Linked DNA regions of Mus musculus. The protein of the gene in region 2 interacts with the protein of the main gene of each other region in a pairwise test. Links are inferred from orthologs where the notes say so. Each region holds a gene or a part of one and is shown on either strand. Other genes may lie near its edges.

Region 1 (4,085 bases), on a different chromosome or scaffold from region 2:
TACTTTTAAAAAATACAGACTCCTCAGCCTGGTATTCCAGGGGGCACCTCTGCAATCTGACCTGAATCTACCTGCCCATACCCTCACATCCTAAATCATAGTGAAGATGCCAGAGAGCTTGATGGGGGGGAGGGGGGACGGGGGGGGCGTGCAGCTGATCTTGCTTTCCAGACATGTTAAGTACTTTATTCTAGCTCCCTGACCTCTCTGGGTCAGGACTGTTTTATTTGGTTTTTATTTAGTGAAATATTCCCCATTCTTCAAGGCCCGACTCAAAAATCTTTGCTTATTATCCCTAAAATAGCACCATTCAAGCTGGTTTCCATCATTCACATGTGAAGTATCGGTTCATTGAGGTCAGGCACCAGAAGTCTAGCACTTAGACCAGGACCTGGCACATAGTAGGTGTTCAAAAAAATGTGGAGTCATCCCTAGATTGGCCATAGTACACGAGATGCGTTTTGCTTTCTTAGCAGTCCAAGAACAGCCTTCTGCTGCTGCCATAGATAGGGCTGTCCGAGCTACCCCTTTGATTTCCCCTCTGCTAGAGTCCTTTTTTCAACAGTGATCTTCCACAGTCTAGAAGAGAGGACATGGCCTTTCTTTGCACTTGATGGATCCGAATGTCATTTGGTTCTAGATGCAGACACACGTGTTCTCCTCCAGCTTTCCTCAGACACGCCCAACAGGAAAGAGGGCAGTTTTTTGTTTTGGTTTTTTATTTGTTTTGCTTTTTTTTTATTAGGGACCAGCAGCTCGGTTTTTTTTTTTTTCCGCTATATATTACAAGGCGCGTCTGAAAACTCCCAGTCTCCTCCTGAGCCGGCTTTTTGGAAGTCCTGCAATAACTCAGCCCATTTCCAAGTAGACAAAAGTCACTTAGGCGTCTTGTCCCCCCACTACCTAGTAGAAAACCTAGGGACTCTCTGTCGTTTCTGGGGCTTGCATTAGGAACCGAATCCTCACCCTCTACAGCGCTCCAATTGCGCTTCTGACGGAGGTCAGAAATGCGCCCGGCCCCTTATAATGTTTCCAAGGGAAGGTTTGTACATTGGTGATTGTCCCTGGCAGCTGCCCAGCTTGAGACTTGGACCTCCACTTGCCATTGGTCAGTGGTTGGAGTGACGCAAAGAGGGGCGGGGCCTCATCAGCTGTTTGCGGGATGCCCGGAGCGGGCGTATTTTGGAAACAATACCGCGCGGTGTGCCGTGGCCTCCTCCCGCGCCAGCTCGCGCCTGCAGCAGTCGCTGCCGCAGCCCGCGCCACCGCCTCCCACCGCAGCCCGGTGAGCGCCCGGGCGGCGGGGGGCTAGGCGGAGTTGGATCGTACCTCCTCCGGGAAGTGGGGAGCGGAGTCGCGCAGCGCGTGGGGGCCCGGGGAAGGGTTTGGACTGCGGGCATCTGGGGTGACCACGGGGAGTTGGGGTGCAGGGATGTGGGAACGAGGTGCAGAGCACAAATTTGTGGTTGCTGCTCCAAGAGGGGCTTTCGGGAAGCATTTGGAATTCGGAGTTAAAAGTAGGTGAGCAAATGATCCTGGGGTCCACTGCCAAGCTCCCGGACGCTCTGGCCTCCGGGTGTAACTGTGGGGTGGGGCCGTAAGTTGTGGTGCATTTTGCCTCCCTGCGGAGTCTGAAGGCTCCTCTTCTTAACAGCTGGAGTTTGCCCCCTTCTTCCCAATCGAGTGTGGGCACCAAGCCCCCCGAGTGTTCTTCACCCTGGACCCTGGCGCAGAGCCCTGGCATCACAACTCGGAGGCTGAGACGCTGTCCTGGAGTCACCCAGGTGTGTGTGCGTGTGTGCATGTGCGTGCGCGTGTGTCCTGAGATCTTAGCCACTATTGAGTTCAAGGTATCTGGCTAGTGCTAACTCCTAAGAGGAGGAGTTTATATTGAGCATCCTAGTTGGATCGCCGAAGTTCTGCGATGGCTCCAGCGGACTTTAAGACCTTTGCTAGGAATAAAGCATTCCCTGGCGGTGCTCTCAGGAAGTGCCCTCTTCCTATCAGTCTGGACTTTACCACTTTAGCTCAGGGAAGCTGAGGGTCTCCACTCTTCCCCAGTTTACTTTTGACTTTGCCCAGAGCCCCTCCGAGGTTCACACTAACTGGAGAGCCACCTGCAGTTCTTGTGCAAAGTGGGGGGGGGTCCTCCGCGTTTTCAGAGCCACACCCTCTGGCTGCACCTCCCCCACTGTCCAGTCTAGGCAAGGGTTGAACTTTGGGGCTTTGCTGGGAGGGGGAGGGGAGTGATAGGCTTCAAAAGAAACACCAAGACAATGACTCCTGCTTGTGATTGGCTCTGGAGAGTCCCTACTTTGGTTGGGATAGCCACACTGCAAAGAAGAGGTTGAAGGACAGAAGAAGCACTGCTAGGTGACATCTCTTGGTCCTTTCATCTGGAAACTTTACGCTGGAGTTACCCCTTTCCTATCGGAACAATAGCAGGCATGGAGTCATTCTCCAGGGAAGAGGGCACAGGACTACGGATAGCTCAGGGGTGGGATGGGGTAAGGCTTGAGGGTTGAAGTAAGAACCTCACAGAGCTTGCATTTGGGAAAGTAAGGTTTCTGAACCTAACTGAGATTTCTGTAAAGACTTAGCCCCACAAACTACTTGGCTTGTCTTTCAAAGGCAATAAAGTGGGGATCGGAACTCCCTGGAATCCCCAGCAGTCTGATGATGACAAAATTTGTCCTTGCATCTCCTTAACCATTCAGGTGCTTGTTGATGCTTCTGGTTGCCCCAGGGGCCCTAACTCAGGCGAGGTCAGCTTGGAAGTTCAAGCTGCCGGGTGACTCCAAGTGCAGAATTTCATGAGCTGTCAGGTGGAGCGAGAGGAACTTAACACTAAGAAACAGCCCCACTGTGTAGGCAGGGAGAGAGCGCTCAGCAGGAGGGCTGAATTTCACTTCCTTCTGCGAGGCACTTTGCACCTATCTCAGGTTCAGCTCTGGCAGGAATGGGAGGCTGAGTGGATGAGAATTGGAAGTCACGAAGATTAGCGAGTAGAATTAGCTGGACACTTTGCTAGAGGCCGATTCAACCCTCCAGATTAACCTGTGGTGAGCAGGCAGCTTTGCTCCTCTGGACGGGAGCTAAGCCAGCTGGCCAGCTGGAGTGACTAAGTTACGTCCCCTGTTCCAGGACACACTCACCACACCACAGAGCCTGTTTGTTGTGTTGTGCAAGGAGGGGGTGGAGATGTGCAGCAGGGTGGGGCTTAGCACGTTAGGAGGGAACCTGGCTGCTCTACAATTCCTGGCTCTTGTTTTTGCTGCTTAGCCTGGAGTTCAGACTTCGCCGAGAGCCTGGAGGTTCCTGCTTAGGAAGTGTGTGTGTGTGTGTGTGTGTGTGTGCACATAAGTATGTTGTGCACTTTTGTATAGTCAGTAAGTGTCCCCTTCTGAGCCTCCACAGCCACTTACAGAGGCTAGTCTTGCTTCTATGTCCCCAGGTACCCGGTGGTAGCACCTGATCCTACCCTTGCTGTTGCTCGCAAATCCTCAGTGTCAAACTTTGTGACCAGCCTAGGTCAGAGGAGGGGGTGGGGTGGGGGATGGGGGGAGGGTGGCTCTGGCAGGTACAGAGAAAAGGCATGGAGGGGCCCTGACCATAGAGGCCACATTTTGGGGGTGAATGTCACCCTTGGTGGTGTTTTATTACCAGGGTTGTGTATCATCAGAAGTTGGCTTGGTTCCCTCACATAAGAAGAGCAGGGGTGGGGGGTGAGGGGGGAAGGAAGGAGGGGAGGGGAATCCTAGGTCTGGCCTCAGTAGGACAGCAGCCCAGATGCTTCCATTGTTCTCTGACAGGAGAGATGGAGCCACCTCAGTGTGTGGAGGAGCTAGAAGATGATGTGTTCCAGTCAGAGGATGGGGAGCCAGGGACACAGCCTGGGGGCTTGCTCTCTGCTGACCTGTTTGCCCAGAGCCAGCTGGACTGTCCCCTCAGTCGACTCCAGCTCTTCCCTCTCACCCATTGCTGTGGTCCCGGACTCCGGCCCATAAGCCAGGAAGACAAGGCCACTCAGACCCTCAGTCCAGCTTCCCCAAGCCAGGGTGTCATGCTGCCTTGTGGGGTGACAG
Region 2 (4,212 bases):
AACTGAAGGAAAGAAGCATAATTGGGTTGCCTCTTTCTGGCCTTAACTGGAGTTCCAGAGCTGAAGAAATGGCAACCTTCAGGAGTCCTGGGTGGGGGGAGAGGTGGGAGGATCAGCACACTGATGAGTGCCCTCCTGTGGATCTGCTGTAGTCAGAAAGCTTCTTGCCCTGGAAACTTGCTCTACAGAAAGATATTATCACATGCTGGATAGTGGTGCCTCGGGCCTTTAATCCCATAGTGTCTGAGGCAGAGGCAGGCCAATCCCTGTGAGATCGAGGCCAGCCTGCTCTATAGAAGTGAGTTCCAGGGCAGCCAGGGCTACACAGAGAAGAAACCATGTTTCAAAATACACACACACTCGGTTTTTATATATACATATTTTTACATATATATATATACATAAATGCACATATAAATAGATATATGTATATTATATATACATATATGTGTATATTATAAATATGTATATGGAATATATAAAAATATAAAAATATTTACATATACTATACTGATATACTTTATATTTATATGTATATTGATACATTTATAAATTATATATAACATATATATTTATACTTATAAACATATTTATATTGTATGTGTATATATAAAAGCACATATTTATATAAACATATGTGTATGGATAAATGTATATATAATCCATGTATATGTGAATGTAGATATTCACATGTAAATTATAGATATATGTAATCTGTAAAACAGGTATTAACCCAACATTGGTAACCTGTATTTAGAGAGGGTGTGTAAGATTAGTAAGCTTGTATCAATTTGTGCCTTTTATTGTTTGATTTTTGTTTTAAATAGTAAGAATTAACTCCTGTGGTGGGTAACAAATGAAAAGAAAATCAATCTGATTACAAAAGATGAAGATTGCTTGTGGACACTGTAAACCAAGGCCTGACACCTTGATACCTAGCTGAAACTCCAGCCAAGGAAGAGCCCACTGCATTAAAGGTCCTGAGGGGAAGTATTTTTGTGTTTAGTGTTTCTACTAGCCCCACAAGGGCAAGAGGTTGTTCCCAGCTTAATAGGAACTGCTCTGCTTTTCCTAGGCACGCAATCCAAGCTGGAAAGTTCAACAAGTGCGTGAACAGAAGAGACCTTCCGGAAATGCTGAATTTGCACTGAGCTGCTGAGGCCCGGTGTGTTTCTCTGGGGACACTGCGGGCTTCGCAGGCAGCCGGCACAGGTCACTATGGCCTCTGAACAGCCCTTCAATGGCCCTCTCTTCCTGGAGTTGTGGCTCTTCCCAGCCCTGCCTCCCAGCCCCGCCCCTCTCTCTGGACGCATCTCTGTGTCCCATCATCACCCGGCGCCGGGCCCTCCCTCCCTGCCCTCCCCTCCTCCCTCCTTCCTTCCTTCCCTTCCTCCCTTTCTCCCTCCCTCCCTCCCTCCCTCCCAGCTCCTCCACCAGGAAACAACCGGATTCCGGATCCCGGCTGCGGCCTGACCCGTGAGATTCCTTAACCTGGCTGGCGGGCGGGGTTGGAGACCAGCTAAGGGTGGGGGAATGGGAGGAGCTGGGCCTTTGGGCTGCTCTTGGGGGTACCGGGAATAGAGATGGTGTCGGCAGGAAGCCCGTGGTCCCGGGTTTCCCAAGAGGGCAGTCATTAAACACGGAATCGGTCCCACAGCTGGCAAAGCTTTGGAGGTAGGGGCCCAGTCCCAGGCGCTGCAGTTCCAGTTCTTTCCGGGCCAGACCCAGGCCTTTCCCACCTAGTTCTCTCTCCCTCCCCTTTTCAGGGCTCCACTCTAGCCGGGAGGATGAAAGGCCTCAGCTGGGGGCTCCCTGCCACCAGCACTGGGTCCTAAGAGCTGCCATCCAGGCTGGGTAAGTGTCCTCTTCCTTTCTGCCCCATTACAGCCCTTGGCTTTTCCCATCTTCCTATTCAGCCCCTGTCTCCTCCCTATCTTGTGCCTCTGCCAACATCTTCGCATCATGCTCCTGGGGAGGTCTTAAGCCCCTTCCTATAGCCAAAAAGGGGTGTGTGTGTGTGTGTGTGTGTGTGTGTGTGTGTGTGTGTGTGTGTGTGTGTGTATAGAGGTGGCATACAGCTGGTGCTGTCGTATGAAAGGAATCTGAAGTAGTCTAAAAATAAGATTTCCTGTTGCACACTTAATTTGACATGTTATACGTGGCCAGCTGCTTATGCTCTGAACCTCCCCATGACTTAAATCCGTTGCTCTTTCTTGGCCCTGCCCAGTGCCTCTGAGCATTTCACCTATCTCAGGAGCTTGATCAAATAGGAAATGTCCCTTCTTGCTCTCTGTCAATAATTTCCTTATATTTATGTCAGTCTGTCATCCTTGCCCCTTTCAGCCGCCCGGATGGCGACCCCAGCCTCAACCCCAGACACACGGGCTCTAGTGGCTGACTTTGTAGGCTATAAGCTGAGGCAGAAGGGTTATGTCTGTGGAGCTGGCCCTGGGGAAGGCCCAGCCGCCGACCCGCTGCACCAAGCCATGCGGGCTGCTGGAGACGAGTTTGAGACCCGTTTCCGCCGCACCTTCTCTGACCTGGCCGCTCAGCTACACGTGACCCCAGGCTCAGCCCAGCAACGCTTCACCCAGGTTTCCGACGAACTTTTCCAAGGGGGCCCTAACTGGGGCCGTCTTGTGGCATTCTTTGTCTTTGGGGCTGCCCTGTGTGCTGAGAGTGTCAACAAAGAAATGGAGCCTTTGGTGGGACAAGTGCAGGATTGGATGGTGGCCTACCTGGAGACACGTCTGGCTGACTGGATCCACAGCAGTGGGGGCTGGGTAAGAAGTTCTCAATTGCTGCTCTCCGCATCCCTCTACAAAGTTGGTCTTCATGGGAAAATAGGGCCTCTGATGGGAGGCTGGGGTTGTGCTGGGAAGGGCTGAGTTCCCTTATTTAAGTGGAATCAGACTGAGAGCATCAAGCTCACAGTACTCCAGGGCTACCATGTAGTAGTAGCTGGATGGGCTTCACGGTCCCAAGCAGAAGACTGAATATAGAGTTTTATAAACAGAGAACCTTCAGCGAATAATTGTGACCCCTGCGTACATAGTATGGGTGGTGAGGCCGGTCAGGGATGGGTCATGGCTAGGCAAGCCTTAGCAAAGGATGCCAGTTCTGAACGGAACTTTATTGCCATGGAAGGGATGGGGCTGACATCACGTAGACAGTGCAGAGGAGCCAGGAACGGGGTTCGGAGGGGCTTGTGTGCAGTAGAGCTTCGGCTGGAGCAGCTGGGGATGGGGGCAGTGCTCACAGTGGATGGAACTGGAACTCTTCCTTCCCTCGTCTCTCCACTATCCTTTCCTGATCTCCCTTTCTCCTTTCTCTACTTCCCTTCTCTCCCACAGGCGGAGTTCACAGCTCTATACGGGGACGGGGCCCTGGAGGAGGCACGGCGTCTGCGGGAGGGGAACTGGGCATCAGTGAGGACAGTGCTGACGGGGGCCGTGGCACTGGGGGCCCTGGTAACTGTAGGGGCCTTTTTTGCTAGCAAGTGAGAAAGTCTAGGGCCAGGTGGGGCTAGGTGTGGCTAGGGGCCAGGAGAGCTGGAACAATAGCGAATGCCCTTGGAAGAAACTGGATGGTCACGGAACAGAGAAAGGCAGGGGAAGGTAGTGTGTGTGGGAGCCCAGCATGCCAGGCAGGTGGCAGGGAGAATGAGTTGGAAACATTAAGGAATGTTTCAAGGCCAAGAACCCAGAGAGTGGAGTCATCCCACGGCTTGGGGGGTGGGGGTGGGGAGGTGGGAGGAATCATGCCCATATCGCGGGCACACAACTACCCGGAACATGGCTTGTAGCTCCAAGGACGGTGAGCTTACTTCAAAGATCTGTGTCTCGACTAGATGAATGGGATTTAGGGAGCCTAGAATTCACTTCCCTTTGGGATGGAAGCTTGGTGATCAGGTGACTGGGTGAAATGGCTGTGGCTGTGGGCTGCATGGGCACACCTGTGCATGTATGTGCACATGCAAGCATGCTCATGTGCATGCTGGGCTGTCTGTCGAATCTGGTGGTGGGGTACTTAGAGAAAACATTCCTTCTTGCTATGGCAAGAACAAGGGCCAGTTCACTGCCCTTCTCCTCTCTGCCCCTTCCCTTGACCTTACGCCTCCAGGCTGAGGGAGGAACACTGTATCTAGACTAGGGCTCTGGTGCTGCCGAGAGTTGTTGGCAGGGCTTTGGAGAGAAGAGTTCTGCAGCTGGC
Region 3 (2,506 bases), on a different chromosome or scaffold from region 2:
TAAACCATGGAGCCAGTGTTAAGAAGGGGAAACTGAGTGCAGCCGAGGGTGCAGCAAGGTCCTGGCTTGGAGTGCTTATGATCCAGAGGCCTCACTCAGAGCAGTCTGGCAATTCCAGAGCTCAGAGTCTGCAAGCCAGTGGTCTTGCTTAGCCCCATGTTTCATGAAGTTGCCACTGAGGAGCTGTCAGAGAAGCCTCTGGCTTGCTTGCTCAGACACACTCTGACTGACCAGGCTATGTACTCAGAGCAGAGGAGCCTGCCTGGCCTACCACAAAGAGATACAACTCAGGGACAGCAAGCTCTCTCCAGGCCTGCCCTGTGATGATGCTACAATAGCAGCCTCCAAAGCAGGAGAGAAGGATGGCAAAAACTTAGAGACCTTGGGTTCCCTCTTGACCCAGTGGAGGCCCAGTTGTCCTCCTCCCCCGAACTTGTGTGATGAGGAAATCATCCTGTGAAGTCATTACTATGTGATTTGCTATTGTTAAGAAACAGGAGAGAGCCAGGAGAGGTCATGGTCACATAACACAACTTAGGGATGTGGGTCCCATGCTGACGGAGGAGGTATAGTGGTGGGAAGGGTGCCTCACACTGGTGGCGGCTGTAGGTAGTAGAGCTGCAGGTGAGGCCAGGTGGGTGGCGGGGACTGGCTGAACAGCAGGATGGAGAGCAGCAGCAGCAGCAGCAGGCCCAAGACGGGTGTGGGGACCAGTGGGTGCTGGCTGATTCTGGAGGGGAGGCAGGAGAGGCTGACGGTGGCCCCAGGAAGATGGGTCTCACAAACTCATGGCACCCCCACCCGCACCTGGGGACATTTAAAGGGCACACCTGATCCCTGGGGAGTGCTGGGGATGCAGACAGTGCTGGGTCCGTGACCTCTCAACTGGCACCAGGTCTCTCACCACAGGCATGAGGGCTTGGTGCATCTCTGGTACAATGTGGCAACTGGAAGGCAGAAGGGACAGACATTATTACTAGGCTTGGTCTGTCCTAAGTCCCTTCCCAGTTCCCAAGTGTCTCTTTACCTCTCACGAGAGCTTCCTGGGGCAAGTTTATGGTGATAGGTTCCCAGAGGGCTGGAAGGGTCAGCCTGGGTGAGGAAGGACAGAACACATCCAGTCACTGAATTTGCAGCCCTTAGTCAGCACCCTGGATGCAGACTACACAGGAGGCCATGTGTCCCCGCTGGTCAGGGATGACTACAGCCTTCTGCTCGCCGGGTGAGTGAGTGAATGGGGAGAGCAGGCAGGGCAAGAACAGTGCCTATGACACAGTAGTTAACGAGGGCGAGAGACTCTCAGCCCACACTTCTCTTCCTCCTCCCACCTGATCCTGTTGAGTTTCCACCCCCCAGGGCATTGGTTTACAGGTGCGTGTTCCTATGCCAGGCACACATGCTATGGCTAAGTTGCCTCCCAGTGCCAGCCTGTCACCCCTCCTTCTGTCTCTCTGGAAGGGCCACCTGTCTGCCAGTCAGGGTCTTCCAATGCCCACATTTGCTCCAAATACAATGACCAGCAGTGATAAACCAAGTAGCATGCCACTCCCAACTGCTAGGTCTTGCACCCAACTCTGCCTGGCACTGAACTGAGAACAGAGAGGAGCTGGGTCTCCTCAGTGAGGGGCCTGAGTGTGACAGGGCGGTGAGGACTCCAGTGCCTGTCCTACACTTCTCAGTCGCTGGCCTCGTCGCTCATCAACTTCCTTTACCTCCCCTTGACAAGAGCTGGGCTGAGACCTCTACCTGTCCTGCCACGGACAAGGGTGGAGGAGCCCAGGCCCAGGCAGTCTGGCCAGATCTTTGAGCCCACAAGTTCCTTGTTCAACGAGTGTGGGAGTCTGTGGTGCAATTGGGGTGGAATCTGTGAGATCCCAGGCTCAGAGTGGAAACTGCAGCCTGTCTTTTGTAGCTGGGGTCTTCGGGGAATAGTCTGGCTGCCAATTGCCTTCAGCCTCCCCCTCCCGACCCTGCCTCTCATTAGTTGCAGCGAGGGCCTTGTTATCTCCTGACCAAATGATTTTTCTGTCTGTTCCTGAGGAGCACAAGCTTGAGGGAAGAGCTGGGATTAGGTCCTCAGTTTCTGGGGATAGGACAGGTTCCAGGGATTGCCTACCAGGACCCAGCTCTCCTCTTCTTCTTCCTCCTCTTCCTGGCTTCTGGACAACCTATAGCAAACAAAGTCACTGGACACCCTACCTCCCTGTTCTTTTCCCATTCTCAGAAATTTTTAAAAAGCAAATTTTGGAGTTTGTGATCCCCAAAAGGCTCAGAAGCCCTTGAACCAGGCATTCCTAGTTGTCTCCTTCCAGCAGAACCTAGGTAGAACCAAGGTTCCTACTTTGCCCCCAAATCAGACACCCCAGGGTGTGTGAACCCTGGGCACCCATGAGGGTAACTGGTACTGTGTCATTTCTCAGCCCTGGTCTTCCGGGTCTTGTTAGAGACTGGTTGTCCAGCTCCCCTCTCCCAGCCCTGGTACCTTCCTATCTGGGCTAAATCATTT

Evidence for each region.
Region 1: the proteins of Bcl2l2 (region 2) and Bmf interact in binary tests that used the Homo sapiens proteins (3 or more experiments, as listed by UniProt). The two-hybrid records come from large-scale screens. The link is inferred for Mus musculus from reciprocal best matches to the Homo sapiens genes BCL2L2 and BMF.
Region 3: the proteins of Bcl2l2 (region 2) and Kash5 interact in binary tests that used the Homo sapiens proteins (3 or more experiments, as listed by UniProt). The two-hybrid records come from large-scale screens. The link is inferred for Mus musculus from reciprocal best matches to the Homo sapiens genes BCL2L2 and KASH5.

Annotation. Positions count from the first base shown.
Region 1 is NC_000068.7:118,546,740-118,550,824, reverse strand, and holds the start of Bmf (bcl-2-modifying factor), read left to right. Parts: upstream 1-1,138; 5' UTR 1,139-1,162; coding exon 1,163-1,285; intron 1,286-1,654; coding exon 1,655-1,784; intron 1,785-3,225; exon of another isoform or gene 3,226-3,444; coding exon of another isoform or gene 3,445-3,454; exon of another isoform or gene 3,455-3,531; intron 3,532-3,812; coding exon 3,813-4,085. UniProt on the Homo sapiens protein: May play a role in apoptosis. Isoform 1 seems to be the main initiator.
Region 2 is NC_000080.6:54,882,031-54,886,242, forward strand, and holds the start of Bcl2l2 (bcl-2-like protein 2), read left to right. Parts: upstream 1-1,394; 5' UTR 1,395-1,476; exon of another isoform or gene 1,477-1,674; intron 1,675-1,766; 5' UTR 1,767-1,854; intron 1,855-2,320; exon of another isoform or gene 2,321-2,343; 5' UTR 2,344-2,351; coding exon 2,352-2,783; intron 2,784-3,353; coding exon 3,354-3,503; 3' UTR 3,504-4,212. UniProt on the Homo sapiens protein: Promotes cell survival. Blocks dexamethasone-induced apoptosis. Mediates survival of postmitotic Sertoli cells by suppressing death-promoting activity of BAX.
Region 3 is NC_000073.6:45,183,162-45,185,667, forward strand, and holds the end of Kash5 (protein KASH5), read right to left. Parts: intron 2,169-2,506; coding exon 2,117-2,168; intron 1,093-2,116; coding exon 1,028-1,092; intron 948-1,027; coding exon 831-947; intron 731-830; coding exon 589-730; 3' UTR 515-588; downstream 1-514. UniProt on the Homo sapiens protein: As a component of the LINC (LInker of Nucleoskeleton and Cytoskeleton) complex, involved in the connection between the nuclear lamina and the cytoskeleton.